3 linked regions of the Styela clava genome follow. The protein of the gene in region 1 purifies or fractionates together with the protein of each later gene. This does not show direct contact. Links are inferred from orthologs where the notes say so. Each region holds a gene or a part of one and is shown in the gene's direction. Other genes may lie near its edges.

Region 1 (8,007 bases):
GCAGGATGTAGGGGCCATACACAACTTTACCGGAGGGTCAAATGTCTTTGCATTCCTCCATAGGTTGTTCTTCTATTGCAAACATTTATGGAGTATTCTAATCATATTTCTTGGAATCAAACTGTCACTGATATGTCGCCAGACTTCTGATATCTCCCCTTCAGCTACAGTTGTCCTGTGAATAAATAATAGGAAATTGAGGTTAGACGAATAGTTGAAAGTTTTGTTTTATGTCGGCCTAATTTCTTGATTGATATACTCACTATTATTGCTATTGCCTCTTGTGCTGCAGGAGTCTCACAATGCTTAGACAGGTCTGTCCACAACTTTCACATCTGTAGGAGAGGAGATGTATTAATTTTCGTTAAGAATAAATAAAGCAGTCTATATGATTCAGAATGGAAAAGCTAATAAACCCAATATCTTATGTTTTTTGTAAAAAATGTTTTACTGAATTTGGTATATAAACCAACTAATAAAGGGGTTTAGTCAGAAAATTATAAGCATTCGTGGCTCCAAATACTTGAGAGATCAGACTATACAATATAGACCGGTATGAGTGAAATTTTAGGTGAACTTGTTAACCCGTTGATTCAATACGCAAATAAAAGTGAATGAGCAATAGTATGTTACAGCAATAAGTATATATCCTCACTGATTAAAAAAATCTAAAAGGAGGTGCATGAACTATTTGAAACCATAAGGGGTAAGTGAATATGCAATTTCGGCAGATGGCCAACTACGTATCGTACTGAATTATAAACTTCGTAGTATTTGACAAAAGCTGGCTTTCCCGCATGTACTTAACAGTGCGATGCCCGGGTGTGATATACAACAATAGTATTTACCTTACTTTTTTCCGATTTCTTTTTACCTTCAATTTTCCACATATCATTAAAAACCACAACAATTGTCGAAGCAGGCTCGAACACCATTCGTGCTATGCCTTGAAAGCAACACACATCCGCTCGTTTTCGTCTCGTCAAGTATGTGCATTGGAGCGTGCTATCGAATACGATCTTCGGCCAAAAATGCCGGAGTTGCGCATCATATTGGTCTGAGTTACTCTGCGATATGTCCTCAATTAAGAAAGGAAAATACGAAGATGAAAACAGAGTTGTCAAGTCAGGGTGGGAAGAAGAAAGAATACGCTTTTACCAGTCAGGAGAATTAACTCTTGTGGTTAATCTGCCATAAGCTACTAAGTCAGAATAATTAGAATAAAGTCAGCAATGTTAAACGGCACCATGGAACGAATCATGAAAACTTCTTACGAGACTACCCTCGTAAATCAGCAATAAGGAAACACAAATTAAATGAGCTCAAATTGTGCATATATTTGAGCATAGCTGCCTTATTTATCTATTTATTGTTATAAGACTCTTGTGTAAATTTCTTTTCTGTTCATGGTATTTTAATAATATTAATAAATTCACAAATTTTGCGGCTCATTTAAAGTTCTGATTTGCAGCATGCGGCTCTTATACTAAAAAATTGTGCCCACCCCTGCCATATATAGTCGCACGATATATATTATTAAGCATGCCCATGACCGGATTCTCTATTAAATTGACCCATTGAAATATCGGTCGTGCATAAATCACGACAAAACACCGATTTGGCAATTGGCAACTTTATTTAAATTACTTTCGTTAAATTCACGAAACGGAACTCATTTGCAACAATGATTGTTGTTATTTATCGCTGGTTATATATTTTTATATTTACGCAATATTTCTCGACTGCTCACAATTTTTCTATTTTGACCCATGTTGCCGCTCCGAATGGAGTAATTTGAAATCGTCAAATCGAATGAATATGCTTTTCGTTAATTGCCATTTTCAATAAAATTTAATTGAATCACATTTCCAACACTTGACGCCATGAATTTACGATCAACAAAAAACTGTTGATGCTTTTATTTTAGCCGACATTGATCCAATCGAACAGAATATCGTTATTACTTTCAAATCTACGCCAACTCGTCAGCGCCCGAATGTCTGGCATCAAATCTGTAACGGCGACGCAACATGACGTCGTCTTCGAAGTTCAGCGTGTGCGTCAGATGCTATTATTGTGATAAAAAAATTAATCGAATTTCAATTATTTATCGGTTCTCCTACGACATCTCGCGATCAGTCTAATTTCTATATACATTGATAACGCCCTCTATCGAATGTCGGTATTTTGACGAAGTTCATCAGTAGAAGTCACCATTTTGGGTGCATTTGAGCCGCTAGAAAACGGAGTGTCAATATTAGGATAGGATGCTACAACGCGATTTTTTTAATCAAAAAATAAATTAAACTGCGCGATCGAATATGATAACAGATTTAGATATATAAGGACTCACTATAGAAACTGCCAGAAGCACAATACCGGTATGGCGCAATTTAGTCGAGATATACCGTAAACGATTGAAAATTTGGGGGTCTAGTACCGTAAAACCGGCTAACTTCGGATGGTTTCACTATACTTCAATCAATATCTCTGCCGTTTGTTGTCCAATTAGCGTCATATTTGGAATATATTACATTGATGCAATCTCTACACATGCATTTAATTTTCTCGCCGATCGGATCATTTTTTCTGTCTTAATTGTCTCATTTTTCACTACACCACTAAATATCTAACTTCGGATGGGGGAATCACCTCCGTGCGTGACCGCAACTCGAGCGAAAATTGCGTGGCGAAGACAAAACACGCTTTACGTGGTTGCGAAAATTCCAGATGTTCAATCCACGTCGCGAGTGGCGGTGATAATGATGACCGTAGGATTTTTGGTGCGGCACTTTCAAGTTGTTTTTATAATAAAATGTCTAGTTTCATTTTCTCTTATCGTACTACCGATCATAGCCGATTTTGCAATAGCCGATAATGTTTGGATAGCGTTTGTATATTCCAGATCGTATATAGTCGCACGATAAATATTATTGAGCATGCATATGACTGGATTCTTTACTAAATTGACCTATTAAAATGTCCGCCGTGCATAAATCACGACAAAACACCGATTTGGCAAATATTACTTTAGTTAAATTCATTAAACGGAACTCACTTGCAAGTGTTGCAACAATGATTCTTGTTATTTATCGCTGATTATATATTTTTATATTCACGCAACATTTCTTGACTGCTTACAATTTTTCTATTTTAAACCATGCTGCCGTTCCAAATGGTGGAATTTGAATCGACAAATCGAACGAAAATATTTTTCGTTAATTGCCGTTTTAATAAATTAAATTACATTTCCAACATTTGACGGCATGAATTTAAGATCCACAGGAAACTGTTGATGTGTATATTTTAGCCGATATTGATCCAACCGAACAAAATATCGCTGTCATTTCAAATATACGCCAACTCGTCGGCGCCCTAATGTCTGGCGTCAAATCTGTAACGGCGACGCAACATGACGTCGTCTTCGAAGCGAGCGACGTCAGGGTGACGTCGGTTCAATGTGTGCGTCAAATGCTATTATTTTGATGTAAAAAGACAATTTGAATTTTAATCGTTTCTCGAGTCTCCTGCGACATCTCGCGATCAGTCTAATTTTGTAATACATTGGTAACGCCCTCTATCGAATGACGGTGTTTTGACCAAGTTAGCGCAGTTAGAAGTCACGATTTGAGCCGCTCGAAAACGGAGTGTAAATTTTTTGCTAAAACGTGATTTTTCAATCAAATAATAAATAAAATTGCGCGATTGATCATGATAACAGATTCAGATATATAAGGACTCTCTAGAGAAACTACCAGAAGCACAATATGACGCAAAGTTACAAGGCATCCGAAGTTAGCCGGTTTTACGGTACCGTACCGGTATAGTTTAGGGGTCTGGTATAGTTTAGTACCACACGTACTTCTCTACTTCTAGTTGACCTGGCTCAACAATTTTTGCATATGTCAATCCTAACCCCCACCTAACTACGTCACCGAAAAACGTCATTTCGACGTCACAGTGGCGCAATAAGGCCCACCTAAGTATGCGGATGATCGTGTTGGTGAGGTCGTAGACTCGTAGTGACCTAATTTTTGGATGGCATAGTCAGGTGGGGGTTAGGAATAGCATATGCAAAATTATTGCTACGCCCACGGGAAGTACTTGTGGTACTAAACTATACTAGACCCCAATTTTTATAGTTTGAAGGGCCTTAAGTATAAGTATAAGTTTATTTCGACTCCATAATCAGCAATAGACGATAAAATAATAGATAAAAACAATTATGCCTTATTACCTGACTGTGACTTAATTTTTAAATGAAGCTGTCAGGTGGGAGTTAGGATTGACATATGCATATGGGCTTGGCGGTGTGCCGGTGTGGCGCTTCATGCTAAGCGTTAGGAATACGCTCGCCACTGCATCTATGATTACCCTTTGTGGGTTCGCAGGTTTGAATCCCATGCGGGGATGATCATGTGCGAGAGGATTGCTGGACTCCTCGTCGCCGTGGGGTGGTTCATGTAACCGCTGGTCGGTTACGGCTTCCTCCACCATCAAGTCCATGCTTCCGGAAACAAACAAATTACTAACTGATCCCATACCCGACATGGAATACTGGAATAGTAATCAGACGAGAGGTCGTGGCTCGCCATATGGTTAAGCCGTCTTATCGACTTTTCTCTGGCACGGGATAAATATGTAAATCCTATCCTATCCTTGTTATGCAACGCCCGCTAGAACAGAAGTACCGGCACTTGAGGTACGAAACTACACTAGATTCTGGTTTAGTTTGCTCTCCCGATTCTAGACTATAATCAGTTTTATATATTTTTGTTTTATCTAAAATTTTTAATTTATCGTCTATTATGCTGGTTATCGAGTCGAAATAAACTTATATTTATAATAATACTGTCCAATCCTGTTTTAAGATTGTGACTTCAGCATCTGATTACTGGATTAGGTTTGAAGTAAATCTAATTTTATTTAATATAGTACCAAGTACTATAACGTAAGATTTATTTTTCCTAAATCACTTACAGATTTATTTCAATATGTATAGTTTCGTGTAAATATCAAAATGAGTGGCTCAAGATATAGAAGCTTTCAATCAAGAAACGGAACTAGACGTATTCGTGAAAATGCTGGAGATACCATCCCTTTGGATATCACACAGGATCCTTATTTATTGCTTATGACAATTTTTCGAAGTATTCAAAGCAGAGGAAGCACTGCAAAAACTCTGCCACATTTGAACAATTTGATCAAAATACTATGCAATCGTGAAGACGCGACTTCTAAATTTTTAATTGAAGATATTATGATTTGTCTAAAACCAGCATTGGTTTCTGAAGTAAAGGAAGTTCGAGCAGCGTGCATTCGAGCTTTACGTTATTTAGTTAATGATGCACATTCAGTAATACTTTTGACAAAACTTCATTTGGATAGTTTTATAATAAAATGTCTAGACATAAGTCATTTCAATGAAGTCGAGAGAATTCAATGTTTGCGTCTAATTCGAAAGATTCTTCTCATTGCAAGAATCGAACGCAGAGAAGCTGGAGAAAAAACGAAAATGTCAATCATTCCTAAATCATTTGCTTTATGTATTATGTCAATTTCTGCTGATGGAGCTGTGGAAAGAGATCGTGTCTATAGAACCTGTCTTGCGATTTTATGTGAACTTGTTGTTTTAGAACCTTCATTAGTCATTGAAAATGGTGGACTACTTGTAATGCTACGTGCAGTTCTTGAATGCCATATGTACAGAAGGATTAACGAGTCATTGTGTATAAGCCTTGGATTAATGCTTAATCATCCATCCTCACGGAACCTACTGAAATTGACATTCAGTTTTAATGCGATATTTGCTCCTTATACTGACGTAATGTACCGTCTACATGCTGATGTGGAAGAATCACAAATAAGAGAAGAAAAAGAAATGAGGTTTTCCGCTTCAAAGATGGCGGTTGTTTCTGTTCTTCGTTCATGGTCTGGTCTACTTCACCTTTGTCAAACTTCTGCGATAAAATCTTTTTTAAGTACTTTGCTGATTCCTGATGCAGGTATTAAACGTGCTACTTTGTCTGTATTATTTGAAATCTTCTGCTTAAATGAACCTAAAGCTTCAGAAGATTTTATTGAATCACTTCTAAGCATTGGTCCCAGAATCTTTCAGGAAAGCTGGCAACTTACAAATATTTTTGTTGTTGGTGAAGGAAAATGGTTCCTTCCAAGCTTAAATAATGAACGATTAGACTTGACTAATTGTTATATGGCTGTGCTGCTTTCAATTTTTATTGAAGCCAATATTATACAGCGTTTGGTTTCAGTGGTTATGGGTCCTGATGAATGTGCCTCTATAATTGCTTGTATACTTCTAGGGAAAATTTTAAACCTTTCTGATAAATTACATTCTATGCCACAAACGGCGGAATTATGGATGACTAGTGCTTCATCTGCTTGTAAAGAATGCTTGCCAGATCTAATGAAACAAGCAACTTCACAGAGTGTGAGTAAAGAAGAGCGTTTACGTGCAAGTGTTGCTGTAGGTAGGTTAAGAAAGATACATAATTTTCTTAAAAATCGACCAGCGATGCATACAGTATATTTAGATGAGTTATTGCTTCGGGTCAAAGCTGCTGAAAAAGCATCAACAGAGGCAACCCAAGTGGAATCACCAGTTAGGCCTGGCTCTTCTATATCGCTGCGACGCCTCACTGTAAACCATGTTGAAGACTCGGATGAGCCCATGACAACATTATCAATTCGTAGAAACAGATCCCTTACAATTGTGCGTAACTTCGCTAGCGAACAGACATCCACAAGAATAAAAGACACACAAGTCATTGCAGAAAGGGACTTTACTAAGTGGGATTGGGAAGCAATAACATCATTTCTTGTTGAAGGGTGGTCTAAAAGGATGGTTAACACAAGAGAATCTCATTATATTGGCTCTGATGATACAGAATACCATTTTATCAAACGACTTGTTACTTTTTATATTCCGAGTGATGGAGAATTCTACAAAGTTGATAGAGCAAGAGAGGGCGAGGGAGATAAACCTCATGTGCAGTCAGGTTGCCATTTGGTGAGATATTTATCAACTACAGCTGGAGAGGGAATGAAACTATTATCTGTTTTGTTGAAAAGCATCGTCGAATATTTGGCAAAACTTATAAAAGATACAGACGGTATGAAAAAGGCAACAAGCACTTTTTTATCAAGTTGTGCAAGGGACTATTTTCTCTTGCTCGGAGCATTAACAGTTTGGCGCCATGGTAGTGAAATTTTGCGCAAGAATGGAGTGTTTGATTTTTTTACGTCACTCGCAAATGATGAAATTCATGAAAATTTATTAAAACTTGTAATATCAAGTTTATCTTTTTCTGGGGAAAGTCTGAGTTATTTTTTCTTGAAGCAAGTTCTTGTAACTTGTAATGAAGCAGCAAGATTGTATGCAACTTGCTATTTACGAATATTACTTAGAGCTAAAATGCCTGGATTTATCAATTGGGGGGTTCATTTACTAATAACACAACTTTATGACTCGAGCCAAACTGTTGCCACTGAGGCACTTGATGTTCTTGATGAGGCTTGTGCTGATCATGAATACTTGAACGTTGTTGTTGGTCTTCGTCCCGGTTTGCTACATCTTGGTGAAAAAGGAGCGCTGCTAATTTGTCGTTTTGCGTCTCATCCGCTGGGTTTTGAGTATCTTTCTGCAAATAAATATCTGTTGAGAGAGTTGGACCGATGGTGGGATTCTGCCAATGATCTCTATGTATCAAGAGTAGAAGAACTGTTGAATATCTCACTAACATGCTATGAAAAACCTACTCAACAAGGTGGGTTTGTGCGACGATCAGGAATTAAGAAAGTTGTCCAGCCTGTTCATGTTCCTTCACATTTATATGGAGAGTTGAGCCAACATGAAAGAGGATGCGAATTACTTGAAAAAAGGAATATTGTTCCAAGATTAGTTCAAAAATTACAGGATGGTTTGCACATCCATGAAGCCTTTTGTGGAGATGTAGATAACTTTGAATTTAATTTATCTTCTTACCA
Region 2 (7,971 bases), on another chromosome or scaffold:
AAAAGTCAGCAGGGAGCATCATAACCAAACCCCAGCCTTTAATTCATAGTAGCAATGAGGGAGCAGTTTCGCCAATGATTGTGTCGCATCGTAAAGATCGTTTGAAGCGAAAGGATCGAATAAAAAAGAAGTCAAGTTTACTGCAGACTAAACCAATCCATGTGTTAGATAGTAAGACAGTTTACTGTGATTGATATTAGTTGATTTGTGTATCTCCTCGTCTAAAAGATTGCCTATTTTTTTATATTGACAAATGCCCTGAGGGAGAAAAATTTTGTTTTCTCGAAACTACTAAAATTGAGAGCAATCTAATTTCACATGCGAAATCAGTCTATGTCATGGGGGTTTGCTTTTTCATATTAGATTTGAATGTTTTATTAGCCCTCTTATGTGTTACTGGTGACTCACCATTATATATAATAGTCCCTAAGTTCAAATTTCTAGCACTTATTAGTTCTTGGTGCAAATGCACACACTGGCTTTATGTGAACCACAACATGTGTAATATTATGTCTGATGAATTTTAGAGTTGAAGAATTTCGGTTCAATTTTATTATTCATGCAATCATTTAGTTTTTAAATAATATGATGATTTCATATTGGTTTTTATTTAATTCACTTTGAATCACATAATGAATTGAGCAAATTGTGGCCTCAATTTCCTCACAGCTAATTTGCTCATAAATGCTATGTTATTTTTCAGCAATGCTAATTTCTACAATAAACTAAAAATGATTTGTTCTGAACTTTGGTCATTTGGTTCATTTTAACGTAATTTTTACTCTCTACTTTTATCCTCTATTCTAGCTGGAAGTTATAAAAAGGTACTTGGTTCTGCCAAAGACTCAAATAAAGCTGCTGATATCGCTTCTGGACAAAAATATGTCGGAACGTTAAATAACTCTGCTGGACAGAGTGACACAACTGCTAAGTCATTCAAGAAGCAGCTTATTTATGAAACAAATGACTCGAAAAATTATAAACCATCGGTTAATGCTGTTAGTTCCCGCAACTCAACAACATATAGCACAAATGATAAAATAAAAATTGGAAATTTGACATCAGGAGGTGGTTTTGAATTAGTAGCGTCGATAGAAAGTGAAAATTCTCCTACCTCAAGTCCACTCTCTACACAAAAGAAGGCACCCCCTTCAAATGAAAAAGTCTCCACTAGCAGCTGGAAAGCCTCTAATACAAGCTCAATTGTGAAGACAAAAATGCCTCCAGCAACAATGTTAAATCCTGGTTCAACTAAGAAGGTTGATAAAAAATTATACTCTGATAAGACTTTCAATCGTTCGTTTGATTCCTCATTTAGCTCTGCTGTTGATGTTCCACTTGCGATGAGCTCACAGGCTATGGAAAGTTATGCATCTGATATAATCAAATTTATGATGGATCAAAACCAACTGGCACATGCAAATCCAGTTTACCACGGATCCCCTGGTTTATCAAACTATGATGCTATTTCAAAAATATTGGGTCTCAGTCCTAATGACGTTTTGCCTAAAGGTGTTAAGAACTCCAAACAAGACGAAAAACTCAAATTTAAGATTTCATCCGCTGCTGTAACGCCCAGCAGTGCTTCAAAGGGTGGCTTCCCAAAATTAGATGTTGGTACTAAACGTGTAGCTACAGCAATTGGGCCTTCTTGGTCTTCTCAAAATCCCACACCCCCTAAAATATCGAAACCTGACAAAGTGCCCTCAATAGCAAAGCAGAAAGTATGTCCACCAACGTCAACAGCGCCTGTGTATTCTGTGACATTCGATGATAAGCATGCCATAAAAAATCTCACAATGAGACCGATACCAAACTTTGCTGTGCCGTCTATATCTAGTTCAAACTTTTCTGGCCAGCGATCGCGTTCTAACCAGCACCACTCTATTGAGAAATCCACTGTGTCTCCCAATACCCCAAATTTTAAAATTGCACAATCAGCCATAGATAATTTAGCAAACATACATAACGTTCCACCAATGTCTCCTACTTTTCCGCAAAATACGAAACGGAGTTCCTCAACTCCTTGTTCTGTTCCAATACCCAAACTTCAATATTCACCATCTGGTGCGTCTAATATTAAATTGGAATCAATCCGTGGTGGGTTCAATCCAATGTTACTTTCGTCAATGGCTAGCTCTTTCAATCCAAACACAAACTCGTTTTCTACTGCTTACTCGTCTTCGTCAAACCTTTCTAATTCTGCTGCATCGAAGCTCAAAACAATGCCAGTCAGTTCTGCTCGAAATTTTCCAGAAAATTATTCAATGACTGACCCACAGTTTTCAAAATCATTTCCATTGGTAAGTTTTCTAAATTAATTTTCTGTTTAAAGAATACTGTGTGTATTAATTTGTATATCCATCAATTTAAAATACCTAAACATTTCAATAATTATGATATCCCAGTTTCAATGTTTTACAAAGTTAAGTTTCATAGAATAAGTGTGTTGATTTAGACATAATGACACACGCCTGATAGATCTAACGAAGGTAACAGTAGTAAAATTTTGAGTTCTACTTCTATTGATTATACCAGCATAATGCTCTGGTAAGAATTTGAAACTTGATTTAAAATAATATATATTAATGCATCTTTGCTTCTGAAGCTCATATTCAATCTAGTTACCAGCCCCCAATCTAATTCCTCTTAATTGTACTTTAAAATAAACTTCAAGTGTTAACATATAACTTATCCACTACAATTTTAGGTCAACCTTGTTGATATTCAGGGGAACGATTCAGTTAAGCAAGCAGCATTGAATCTGAATATTAAAGGTAGGTATTCTAGGAATCCATCGTTTTGGTACGGTAAATGGTACTCATACAGGAGTACGAGTCTAAGATGTAAAGGAACATGCAATACAAATTCTTTTATTTTGAATTAATTTCTGGGGTTCAACTACGTACCAATTTTCAATAATTTACGTTAAATGAAATATCTGGAGTGTCTGACTTGAGCTATCAAATTAATGTTGGCTAGCTTGGTAATTAGGCGTTTAGTATTTCACATTACTCTATCAAATAATCCAAAGTGTCACGAACCGAGTAAACAATTTCAATCTTAACAGTGAGCTTCATTTGTTTCAGCAAACCAGAACAGATGAGAGAGTGGGCATGTTTTTTATAGTCATTCATTATACATCAACTATCTGGTTGTGTGGAGAGTTCAAAGAATCATATCTGCAGTTTCTGACCTGTTTTTCAGCATTTCATGTGTAATTTTTTTATGTACACCATGATATTTCACCTGAAGTTTGAAATTATAGGGAATTTTATGGGTTCTCGTACCTAGTAGTCTGCTTTAACCAGTTTAAAACTGACATCAACAACTCATTTTGTATCTTTTCACATTGTGTGTTATCATCGTCTGGTCATTTTATATTTTTTACAAGGTCATTATTCATTCTCCATTAATAAATATGAATAAAGGAATATGTTCTGCTTTCCAATCTTTTTCTGAATGTTAACACTCTCTCAAATGTTTACACACAAAATGAAATGAATATTTTGCAGTTTGTCGAAAAAGTCTTTGCTTCCTTGAGTATAAAAATATACTTTCATCTATGTTGCAATTAAAGATAAAAAGTATAGTTTTTTCAGCAGTCTAGGTATAGCAATTTGATAATATTGATGCTGGCTGATCTCTTGCCTATTATTTAAACTTTACAAGGCAATTTGATAATCCAATAATGCATTCTAGTCATTTCTATCTATTCAAAGTGTAGAAATTTACTTGGTACACTGCTCTGTCCGAAAGTGAAGTGATCATATTCAATCGTAAACTGGTGCTACTCAATTTTGAGCTTTTTGACTTGAGGAAAGTTTGGAAAGGAATACTTTTCTGTCTTGAAATAATGTTATCTTCAGATTAAAGCTGCTAGTTATTTTGCAATAAAACATTGTCTATTCTGATGTGTTTATATAATTTAGTTAAGGAATGGTGTAAAGTGAAAACGTCTTTACACTGGTTCAGCTTGTGTCTGCTGATGTATAGCATAAAAATAAATATGACTATTTGAGACAGGTTTGCTATTTTAAGATCTGATTTTCGTGTTGACCACGAGGAAAAGATGTCTCTTAACTTCATGCATACCACGGCTTGTGGATTTTCTATTATAAACATTCTACTGTAGGGGTTATATTCAAAATGTGAAGCGCGGGTCGGTGGAAGCATCGAAGTCCTCACTGGTGGTGGGAGTCCCAAACAATACATTTCAGGCATATATATCCCAGCTAAAGTTCATCTCTGGTCGACCGTTTTAGATGTGCATCGGTGATATTTTTGATAGAACATGAATAGCCTTTACAACAGACATCCGTAATGTATGTAATCCCACCGTTTCTGCAATATAGTAGCGTGTCCTGTAGATGGCAGTAAGGATGAGCATTGGTCAAGCAGTTCGCCACCACTGCACCGAGACCTGAAATAGGTGTCTGATTTTATTCACTTGTTGATTTGTGTGATTGCTTGGTGTAGTGATGTTATCATCTGTATGGTGAGTGCTGTTACAGAGTTTCACGTCTGTTAAATCTGTGAATAGGCACATTTTCACGGATATAGACTACCTATAGGTTATTTATTTACTGACCAGTTGGAAAAAATACACTTGACTTTACATAAAAACTTAGACAACATCAGCAGTCTGGAATCAGAGATTTAGAAATTTTGACTGGTGTGATGGCGCGATTTAGTTCAGTAGGAGGGGATTAGTCTACGGTTTTTATTCCAATTAACATCTAGATAAATCCAATTCACAACAGCACAATGTTTTTACCAAATCACCTCCTAAAAAGATTTCAGTCTTTTGCAGAACAGCCTGATAAAATTTAGGTTACCTGGGTTATAGGTAATCTGAATGTCAGCATTATTCCGGTATTGTTTTCATTTATTAAAACTTCCATGGCTTTACAAATGTATTAATTTTAATTGGACTAGTTTAACTCAAAAGTGTTTGCATCTATTTTCAGACCATTACTGCAGTATAGTCTGATAGTGCCAATCCTAAAACTTCTCCATAAATACAGTAATTTGAACAGTTCTCTGCTATTGACGTCTGTAACTAAAAGAAATGTACCACTTTGGAAACTAATTGTGTTTAGACCTTGATTCTAACCACTGAACCAACTTTCTGACAACTCAACTTAATGGAGTTCGATGAGGAAGCTGTCGATATTAATACTGCGTCAGTCGATGAATTTGTGACTAGGTTGAAGGGAGTTGGACGATCTAAAGCTCGAGCTATTGTTCGATTCAGAACAGTGAGTATTTCTGTATTTATTAAAATATAAATCACATGAATACTGGAATAAGAATGGCTGATTAATAACAAAATTATTACACTATTAATGGTACAAAAAATTTTCAATAGTAATATGAAAAATATATTTTATATATTGCAGATTTAACCATAAACCTCGAAGCTTTTGTGGTTTTATGATAATTCAACCTTTATAAAATTGCTATAGTATGTATGAATTTAGAATGTTTTAAATCTAAATAAAATGTCGAAGTTTTCTTCAGTCTGAGTATACTGTCAGTGTCAGCTATATCTAGAATTAGTCAAACATGCTTCAAGTCCACGCAAGTGTGCCTGCGTTAAATTGGTTAGCCTAACCATTTTATTTAAAAAATTATGTCTCATACCGAGTGACAAATTTTAAAATGTGATTTGATTGCAAGCCAGCTTGCATCAAAGTCATTGTCTTTTTCTGAGAATTGTGTGACCAAGCAAATGCAAGAAAGATTTGGCTACATGAAGCGCCAAAACAATTCACCCAACCATTTCCATTCCTACTCATTTTTCAGCGATTAAAAATCAAATCACTTCGATAGCCTTTGTCCCTTTTTTGTTTCGATTGTAAAAATTGATCAATTCTTATACCGCTATAGTAAATTTTTAACATTGTGACAGAAATATGATCTTTTATTTTTGTATTAGACTGTTGGAAAGTTCAAGAAGTTGTGTGAATTGACTGATGTTCCTGGAATCACACAATGTATTCTAGAAAGAAATCAAGGTGTATTACTCTGTGTATCAAGTAGAGCGAGCGAAATCAAGGCTTTACACGAGCTAAGTGATGACGAACCCCTTGAGGAAGGAGATTTATCCGTATCGGAGTTGATGTTAGCAGGTACAGTATGATTATTGAAGTCTTTCAAAACTTTCAATCTCAAACTTTATTCGACTTTAAACCTGAATTTCACAACATTCAATATTATCCTAAATTAATTCCGAATTGTTTCTCTTCGACATAATTTTATTACATTATTTCTATTGATATTGGACATTTCAGGAACAAAATGAGTTGTTGGTAAATGAGTATGTAAATGTAAAAATGAGTTACATTGTAAATCAACCCAAAAAATTTTTTTTTTGGTATTTTCCCAATTTGTCATTCTGTGTGCTCAAACATCAAGTCCTAGAAATTCCATCCACATCCTGAGAAGGGATGGACAGTTAACGGCCTGTGGGTCACATTCGACATGCCAAAGCATTTTGTACGGCGCGCTTGCTCTTGGAGTAATTTTTCACTAATATATACAAAATTTAGATGTGCTTTTTTGGAATATCCAAACTATGAATAGTTAAAAAAAATGTTAATTTTTTTTGTTTATTCCTGTTTCAACAATGGCAGCTGTATTAAATTTTAACTGAAGGTAAATATATGGTACATTTCTCAATGCGGCCCTCTGCATCAAAAACTTTGTCCATCCCTCTGCCCTAGGATGCATTCTGATATTGGAATTACATCCATACCTTGGAATCGAACGAGTCGATACTTGAATAATTCAGTTGCCGAGCAAAAATATCTAGTCAAAAATTCCTGGATATCAAACGGAAACTCAGTGCCCGAACACCGATCGCACCTCCGAGTGAGATGACGTCACCCGAACACGCATTTCAGCTGCCTCTTGACCATTTAACAAGAGAGCAATGCTCAAATATATGGGCACTAAGGCCATAATGAAGTAGTATGTGTATGTACAGTATCTGTCACGATAAACACCCGGTAAGGCAATCTTCACGACTATCGTGAAAGCGGAACCTACTCAAGGTGCGCTCAATTTTTGATGACGTCATCGCATACAAAAAACGAACCCTATAGAGCCCCAGTATATTAACTGATACAAAATTTTTTGTTTAATTCTTATTTTGTACACATTTAAATAAATATTGTTCTACGTTCGTTTTGTTAATATTTTTGGTATTTCGGAATGCGTAAGAACGATTAAAAATAATTACCATTGTTTCTTATGGCAAAAAATTTTCGATACTCGAACAAATCGATATTCGAACATCACTCCTGAACGAATTATGTTCCACTACAGAATTATCACTGTACAAGAATGTGTTCTATTTCGAAATTTGGCAAAGTCCGATTCTATCTGATGAATATGAATATTTAGGTTTTGTTCGAATTATTTTGGGAGGTTGGCCGTGGCCAAGTCTGATTCTATCTGGTGAATTTGAGAAAATTATGATAAATTTTGTTATTATCCATTCAAATATGAATATTCAGGTTTTGTTCATTATACAACTCATGTAATTTAAATCAAAATTATGTAAACAGCATTACAACAATATGCAAATTCGTTTTTGCATCGCTTATAAGGTTTCCTTTAATTACCAAGTCTCAAGTTTTTTTTCCATAAATATATTAAAAATGATAAATGGTTGGGTAAAGATTGATCATTGGCCGGTAGCTATTACTTTTTTGGCCATTTTGATTTATATTGCACATATATACGTGGTTAATAATTGAAAATCCCTATTTCTGCTTTTAATGTATAAATGTTCAAATTGACCGAAAAACATGGTCATTGATATACAATAGTTCCACTTAGCTTGTGTTACATAGCATTCTTGAACCTTTCGTTTGAACAAATTAAAGATCAGTTCATTGCAGCAACATCATAAAAGGCGTTGAATTTTAACAAATAATCCCATTGGGAATGTTCATCATTCAA
Region 3 (7,337 bases), on another chromosome or scaffold:
ATTATAAACTTATGGATCACTACACAAGAAAAAGGTATCGCAAATAAAATTTTCACTGATGAAACAGAGAAATTTTTCCCAGACATAAACAAAACTTGTGAAGATTCGACGAAAGAAAAATTTGCCATAAGCGAGGTGATTGCGAAATCGTCGCGTTCTTTCGTTGAGTGAAGCTTTATTAAAGAGTGTATGTTGAAGGCTTGTGAAATAATTTTTTAACAATGAGAGTTAACAAATCAGCCTTTCGCACACGACTAACGGACGAGAGTTTGTATGCTGTCTAAAGACCAGCAAACCAACGCAAAATAAGGCTGAACATCGAGCGTCTCACCGCTACAAAATGGTGTAAGATTCAAGCGGTATGTTAGTCGTTGGTTAGTCGTTGGATTCAAGGTTAATTTCAACTAATATATTCAGATTTAATTTGCTTATTTTTGTATATAATTTATTAGTTTGCGGCCCGCGTCGTCAATAAATTTCAAAATGTGGCCCGCGACATATTTTGAGTTGGAGTCTGGAGACCCCTGGTGTAGCTGATTGATGTATTATTGTTGTAGACAAGTTTCTTGGTATTGTTGTAAACTGCTTGTCTGAAGAAGTCCGATTTTGGCCAGACGAAACGTTACAGAAATACCTTTGTGTTAATGTGCAACAGGACTCTTGAATTGCATAGTATGGTATTTTATTCCCACTACAGCATTCTTGCATTATACGCATACGGATCCACTAGCGCAAGGGCATTGAGGAAGGATTGGGAGTAAATAAATGTTAAATTGCGTGAAATACGAAAGCTATCGGTACGCCGTGTACACTACAGGTAAGATACGTACGCTAATCAACCAAGTAGATTGGATGAAACCGGTAAGTTGAATTTAAGAAACTTTAACAAACTCAAGATTTAATAAAACGTAAAAAAGTTTATTTCGACTCCATAATCAGCATAACAATACATTTGACAAATAAGAACAAATAAATAAAAACTGATTATGGAATCAGGGGAGCAAACGAAACCTAAGATAAGGTTTATAAAGTACAAAATATAAGATGGAAGGTTTTGCCAAGAGGAAGTGGTACGTGTTTACTCACCTAAAATTATTAAGTTATTTCACACACGCTCACATGCACCCACCAGCCACACACACACAACCACTGAGAAGTTATTTAAATAAGAATAAAACGCGATAAATTTAGGGTATACTGTACAGTAAACAAAAAATAAATAAATAAATACTAGAAAATAAAAAAAATTATTTGCCACACTATATTGATATTTTTGTAATGGTTGCCATTGCCAAATTGATCGATCTTCTAATCGTTAATTAAAATATAAAAGGAAGATTCTATTGAAAACATATTGCCAAGCTGATTATAGTTGGAGTCAAATGCCAAGTTGCCCAACCAAAGTTGCCAGAATTGGGTGCATGAAGAGGTGGGCGAGACCATTTCATTCTCCAAATTAGAGCCTATTATTGCCAAATTAAAGTTACCGGTAACAGAAAAATTACTATAATTAAGTAAAGTAGGATATGGAAATAAATTGGTTACAAAGGGTGTAAGTGAGGTTTTTCATTCTTGGGTATTGATTTCAGACAAGGGTATAGGAATAAGGTTGTTATTTCACAGCATATTGGAATCTTTTTTGATTTTTTCCGTACTGTAATACACGCTGGTCGCGAGAGGTGGGTAAGCATGGCTCAATTACGGTACCAATAAATGGGTCTTACTACTTACTGAATACAGCGCGAAACACCGCAAAGAGCGCGAAACAGAAGGAAACCAGCGCAAAACAGAGGGAAACAGCGGAAAACAGGAGGCGCAGTCATTACCACCTCCTGTCACGAAAGAACCACGACGCCTCTCGCCATGGTTTTGTGGCGCTGTTTCCGGTATATTTACAAGGTTATGTACCGGATTATAGGTCATCATGCGAAATTTTATCTACCTTTTTGGTGCTCCAGAAGTATGTGCAGCAATATGTCGCACAACCTGAATCCGCCACACACACACACACATACTATCTTCAGGTTGTGCGCCATCTTGGTGCACATACCTCTGGAGGTCCCTTTTGATCTAACCCTAACCCTAAAGCCAACCATATCCATATGGAAAATGTTCAAAATTATGGTACCCAAAATGTGTCACCAGCAGGGGCAGACCTGCCATTACTGCATTACTGGCTACATACGCTGGTTTGTGTTTTTAATTTGCTGCCGTGATACTTCAACTAAAAACAAGGTGCCTCGAACTCATTGCAAAATTTTTTTCTGCTTCACACTGTTTTCCTCTGTTTTGCGCTGTTTCCCCACTGTTTTGCGCTGTTTCCCTCTGTTTTGCGCTCTTTGCGGTGTTTCGCGCTGTATTCAGTAAGTAGTAAGACCGCCAATAAATTACTGATACATAAAATTATCTCTATATTTTGTGAAATAAACGGTTCTACGATAAAGATCAAAAAATAGTTACTAGATGTAAATTATATTAAAGCATTATTTTGATAAAAACTGTTCAATTAATTTGAATTTTCAAGGTAAAATTCTGGGCCACAGAAACATTTTTAGATAGGCCACAAACCTATTGGAAATTGGTCTGATGGTGATTTTTGCTACAGGGTGGAAATTTTCATTCTAAATATTAAGGTGGAATTGTTGGTTTTTTGCGGAAAGAATTTTTTTCTCTTATACTGAAACACTGACTTAATGGCCACAAAATTTTTCGCAATGAAAATGGGCCACAAAAGAAAAAAGGTTGAGAACCAGCCTATGTCCACAACTGGTGATTGAAACAATTGTGTTTTTTATTTTCTGTTTTGCTGGGGTTTGTACAAGGTAAGCCTATGTGCGAGTGTTTCATGCGGTTATCAAATTTATGATTCATTGTTGATTAGATTATTGAAGTTGAAGTGTCGAAATAAACTTATACCTATAAGACTTCAAATTTGTCATGATGCAGTGATGGCTGGATGGCAAACTGCTAAATGGGTAATTAACGATGCGATAGCAAGCATATTTCCAACACTCTGTACGATGCGCCAACTTCCAAGATATTAATTATAAATGGAATCTATACTCGTAACTAAAAATATATTTGTTTTAAAATTATTTGTTCTTCCTTCCTTTAGATGGCACATTTTATGTTTAAAAATATTAATAAATTAGGCTTCCAACCTTTATCGAGTTTGTTAAATCTTGTTGGAATCTTGCCTACTAGAGGATACAGAGAGATTAAGATAAAAGAGGAAGATAATGTAACAACAATTGAAGGTAAAATGTACGAAGATGACAATTCTAAGTTTGTTGATAGAGATAATCCAGAAGATACATGTCCAATACGTAGTCGAGGAATTCAGGTTACATATGAAGATGTATTAATACTCAATCAGTTCATGACAAATAATGGAGATGTGATTCCTCGTTCTATCACTGGACTATGTTTACGAGAACACCTAAAAGTAACAAAAGCTATTAAAATGGCACAACGTGCCAACCTATTACCTGGTGAAGAACCTCGAATAGATCATTTGGGAAAAGAAATACCAAAGCTGAATTGTTATCTCACTAACTTTCCCATTGGTTCACAAACTGCTGTGAAAAGACCTGGACCTGTTTGGAAGAGAAGATATTATAAAGTTGGGGATCCAGTTGCAGCTCAGGATGCACCAACAATAAGTAACCGAAGAATACGGACTGGTCACTAGGGATGACTTTTTGTATATTTGTATGATAGGCGTATTGAGCACGACAATGCTATTTAATAAAGTTAGTTTAATGCAAAAGTTTTGGAAACTAGTTCCAGAACTTGTTCATGTCTTGGGATTCAAAGGGCACGTATCATCTTTGTTAAATTTCATTATTTTGAAGTGTGCAATTCTCAATATTAAGCTCAGGCTGTCAGGGGTTGAATGCTGCTAAAAGTAAGACTTTTTTTATCGATAACTGTTGATAAATTATAATGGTGTTGTAGTTTCATGGTGCTTATACAAGGTTTAGCAATATGTACAAAATACAGATGTATCTAATAAAGAAAGTTTATGAACTTGAATGTGACTCATAAACAATTCTACCGCATGTGTAACGACATTTAGTGTCAATTATGAAAAACAATGACTATGACATGTGTACTACATCAGTTCAAATTTATAGTTCTCTAATTTTTTGTGTCTAGCCTTGCAATTGTGGTGCTCCAGTGTTAATTGCAGTAAGTTTACTTTGTAGAAGGTATACATCTTTGTTGGCGTGAAATATTATTTTACCATTCTATGTCAGTTGAACCCAATATGAATCTTAATACTCCAGGGAATATGCTTCAGTTTGTTACAAGTAATTGAATGGACTTCACCCTTTTTCCTTTTTATAGCCTTGATTATAGCATCATAATGTCTGGTGATCCTGGTGGAATAGATCAAGTAATTTTGGCAACTGGTAGTTATGATCACACAATCAGATTCTGGCAAGCCCATAGTGGGTTTTGTACAAAGACTGTTCAGCATCCCGACTCTGTATCCTTTTTATAAATTTTTTGTTTTAATAATCTCAAAAGATAGGTATTCGTTGTTCATTTAATCCAGGGTTCAAGTTGAAATTTCCAAAGTTGGGAATGTTCGACTGATCTGAGATGACCCAAGTCGTGACCGCTGAGATTTTCTTCCTTCATCAAAGACCCGCTAGACTCAATACATGACTCTCAAGTTATTAATAATGCAGTTGGTAATTTGAACCAGGATGACGGTTTTCATGGAATTGCTGAATACTAGAAGTAAACATTTTATAAGATATATAATTTCAATTTGTATTATTTTCTCACTATACGCAAACATCAGCAAGTGAATGCGATGCAGATTACTCCAGATAAGAAACACCTAGCCGCTGCGGGATACCAACATGTCAGGTTAGTGGTATTGCATTGTTTTTTTTTGTAATCGTAATAGTTTAATGAAGTTAAAAGAGTTTCAGAAAGTGTAATAGTTACATAAATTAATGAATACTTCTAAATTCAAGATTTAACATCCTTCATTGTTTCGGCTTGCAACTCCACTCTAATTTTTGTAATGGTTGACAATTTTTATTCAGAATGTACGACATTAAGTCCTCTCATCAAAATCCAATAATATGTTATGATGGACTGAACAAAAACGTCACTGCAGTTGGTTTTCAAGAAGATGGTAAATGGATGTACACGGGTGGAGAAGATCATATGGCTAGGATATGGGACATGAGGTAAGAAACTCATTGGACATCCCATTACCAGGAATCCATGGATTTACAAGCTTTTTGATAACATTTACTATAACTATGGTAAGTTTTCTTGTTGTTATGCACTGGTTCTACTCCTGTTCAACCAACCTATTGCTGATGCTCCTGGACTATTGATTCGCTCTGTGAATGTTATATTTGTTTTGGTAGCTTCTCCGTGGATTTGGTTTTAGATTTATTTATTTCAATCCGTTCCGTTGACTGTATCAAGAACAGTTTTCTGATATTTTATATATATATATATAGGTCTCGCAACATGCAATGCAATAGAATGTTTCAAGTAAATGCTGCGATAACATCAATATGCCTTCATCCAAATCAAGCAGAAATGATTGTTGCTGACCAGGGAGGATGTATAAATGTTTGGGATCTTAGATCTGACAAAACAGAGCAACTGGTACACTGATATTCATTTTTGGACTTTGGCTAAATCTGATATCATTGAATATTGATATTTTCAAATTAGAGCAGATTTTAGGATCATTTGTATACATTTTGAACATTTCAAGAATTCATTATTTACATTCAATGAGTACATAACAAAAATGTATGATGTCCGAATATTATTTTCCATTACTTTGCATCGCATACCGGTATTTGTTTTTTCATCTCGCTAAATAAAATGATATTACTGTTTTATGATGCAACTTTTCTTCTATGATTTAGATACCTGAAGTTAATGTTAGTATTAACTGTGTTGATATTGATCCTGATGCAAGTTATCTCGCTGCAGTGAACACACATGGTGAGTCTATATTTATACGTGGGTAGTCGGTGTTGCTTTGAGCTGAATCTTTGAGTTGGTTGTGGTGTGCTTAGGAATTTGTTGAGCGCTCCAGAAGTGTGTGTATCAATATGGAGGTAACTAATTTTGTTCACCTACTTTACATCGAGTTGTGTAAAGGGATTGGAACCTATGGGCTGGGGGTATATTCTCTTGGCTAACACCGACAGTCTCCGAACTCTGATAGAACTAAAATGGGGAAAATCAGAATAAAATTATGGCCTAACTCTACCTTGGTACACACACACTACAGGAATACCTTTTGTTGTTGGCAAGTCTCAATATAACATATTTGTACGAGCAACTAAAAATGTAATTACAGTAGTAAATGATACCAGTACCACCTGAATTCATTTTTGTTTTAAAATAGGAATGCGAATTGCAATACTGCTAGCCTGCAAATCGATGCTATTGACATAAAAGTCTATATGAAGTGCAATGTTGCTTCCGACAATCTTATCTAAATAATCATATTTTTAAACAAATAAGCATTAACGTAATCTCTACAAAGTAGCCTGTATATTTGTGAGCTTTCTCTTGATCATGGTCTATCTTCTTCAGACAAAACAAAATATTTCTGTAAAGATAAATTACATAATACTCGAGTCAAGGTGTTATAATAAATTTTGAAAAATGAGTGCATCAATGCCAAGAGTATTTAAGATGTCTATAGTACCATATCGCAGGGGTGGGCAAGATTTTTGAACCAGGGGCCAAAAGCTTCGCCTACCTAGTCTCGCGGGCCATGTAGGTGTGACATAAAAAGTTACATTTTATGAACAATATTTACAGTGTTGCAAAGCAAAAGTGGAAAACAATAAGCCTCGGGCCAAAACTAACTTTAATTTGCAATCTCAACAAAGTCCTTGAACTTTTTTAACTAAAACATCAAATTTGGTTACAGTTCGGTTGTGGCAGCATCAGGCGGGCCAGATTGAATTACCCAACGAGCCGGATTTGGCCTGCGGATCGTAGTTTGTCCATGTCTGCTCTATCGTATGACCTTTGCTGTTAATATGATTGGTGATGGGGTTGTTGGGGCTTTTTGATTATCTCTGAGATAGTATAAAAACTATGGGAGCTACATTTCAATAACCATTAACCAATATTGTAGTTCTCCAAATATTGTTTGGATATCAAATGTAATGGTATTCTACCTTTAGGAACTTGCTTTGTTTGGAGCGTTTCTCCAGCTAAAACATTGGAAGGTATAATGCAACTCAATCCTCGAAGAAAACTCGATGCACACAAAAAATATGGATTGAAGTGCAAATTTAGTCCCGATTCAGTGTGAGTATTTTTGTTTT

What was found. The genes of interacting proteins can lie anywhere in the genome.
Region 2: the proteins of rapamycin-insensitive companion of mTOR-like (region 1) and F-box/WD repeat-containing protein 7-like purify together in Homo sapiens (affinity purification with western blotting; 3 studies listed by BioGRID, with this or other methods). This does not show direct contact. The link is inferred for Styela clava from reciprocal best matches to the Homo sapiens genes RICTOR and FBXW7.
Region 3: the proteins of rapamycin-insensitive companion of mTOR-like (region 1) and target of rapamycin complex subunit lst8-like purify together in Homo sapiens (affinity purification with western blotting; 14 studies listed by BioGRID and IntAct, with this or other methods). This does not show direct contact. The link is inferred for Styela clava from reciprocal best matches to the Homo sapiens genes RICTOR and MLST8.

Annotation. Positions count from the first base shown.
Region 1 is NC_135255.1:15,846,255-15,854,261, reverse strand, and holds the start of rapamycin-insensitive companion of mTOR-like, read left to right. Parts: upstream 1-4,986; 5' UTR 4,987-5,020; coding exon 5,021-8,007. UniProt on the Homo sapiens protein: Component of the mechanistic target of rapamycin complex 2 (mTORC2), which transduces signals from growth factors to pathways involved in proliferation, cytoskeletal organization, lipogenesis and anabolic output.
Region 2 is NC_135263.1:11,561,510-11,569,480, reverse strand, and holds the start of F-box/WD repeat-containing protein 7-like, read left to right. Parts: upstream 1-4,955; 5' UTR 4,956-5,147; coding exon 5,148-5,261; intron 5,262-5,941; coding exon 5,942-6,134; intron 6,135-7,971. Other genes in the region: uncharacterized protein LOC120340979, read left to right, coding at 808-2,303, 2,711-2,777, 3,090-3,106. UniProt on the Homo sapiens protein: Substrate recognition component of a SCF (SKP1-CUL1-F-box protein) E3 ubiquitin-protein ligase complex which mediates the ubiquitination and subsequent proteasomal degradation of target proteins.
Region 3 is NC_135263.1:19,739,949-19,747,285, reverse strand, and holds the start of target of rapamycin complex subunit lst8-like, read left to right. Parts: upstream 1-4,321; coding exon 4,322-4,492; intron 4,493-4,813; coding exon 4,814-4,881; intron 4,882-5,063; coding exon 5,064-5,210; intron 5,211-5,492; coding exon 5,493-5,643; intron 5,644-5,912; coding exon 5,913-5,991; intron 5,992-7,193; coding exon 7,194-7,320; intron 7,321-7,337. Other genes in the region: large ribosomal subunit protein mL66-like, read left to right, coding at 3,116-3,691.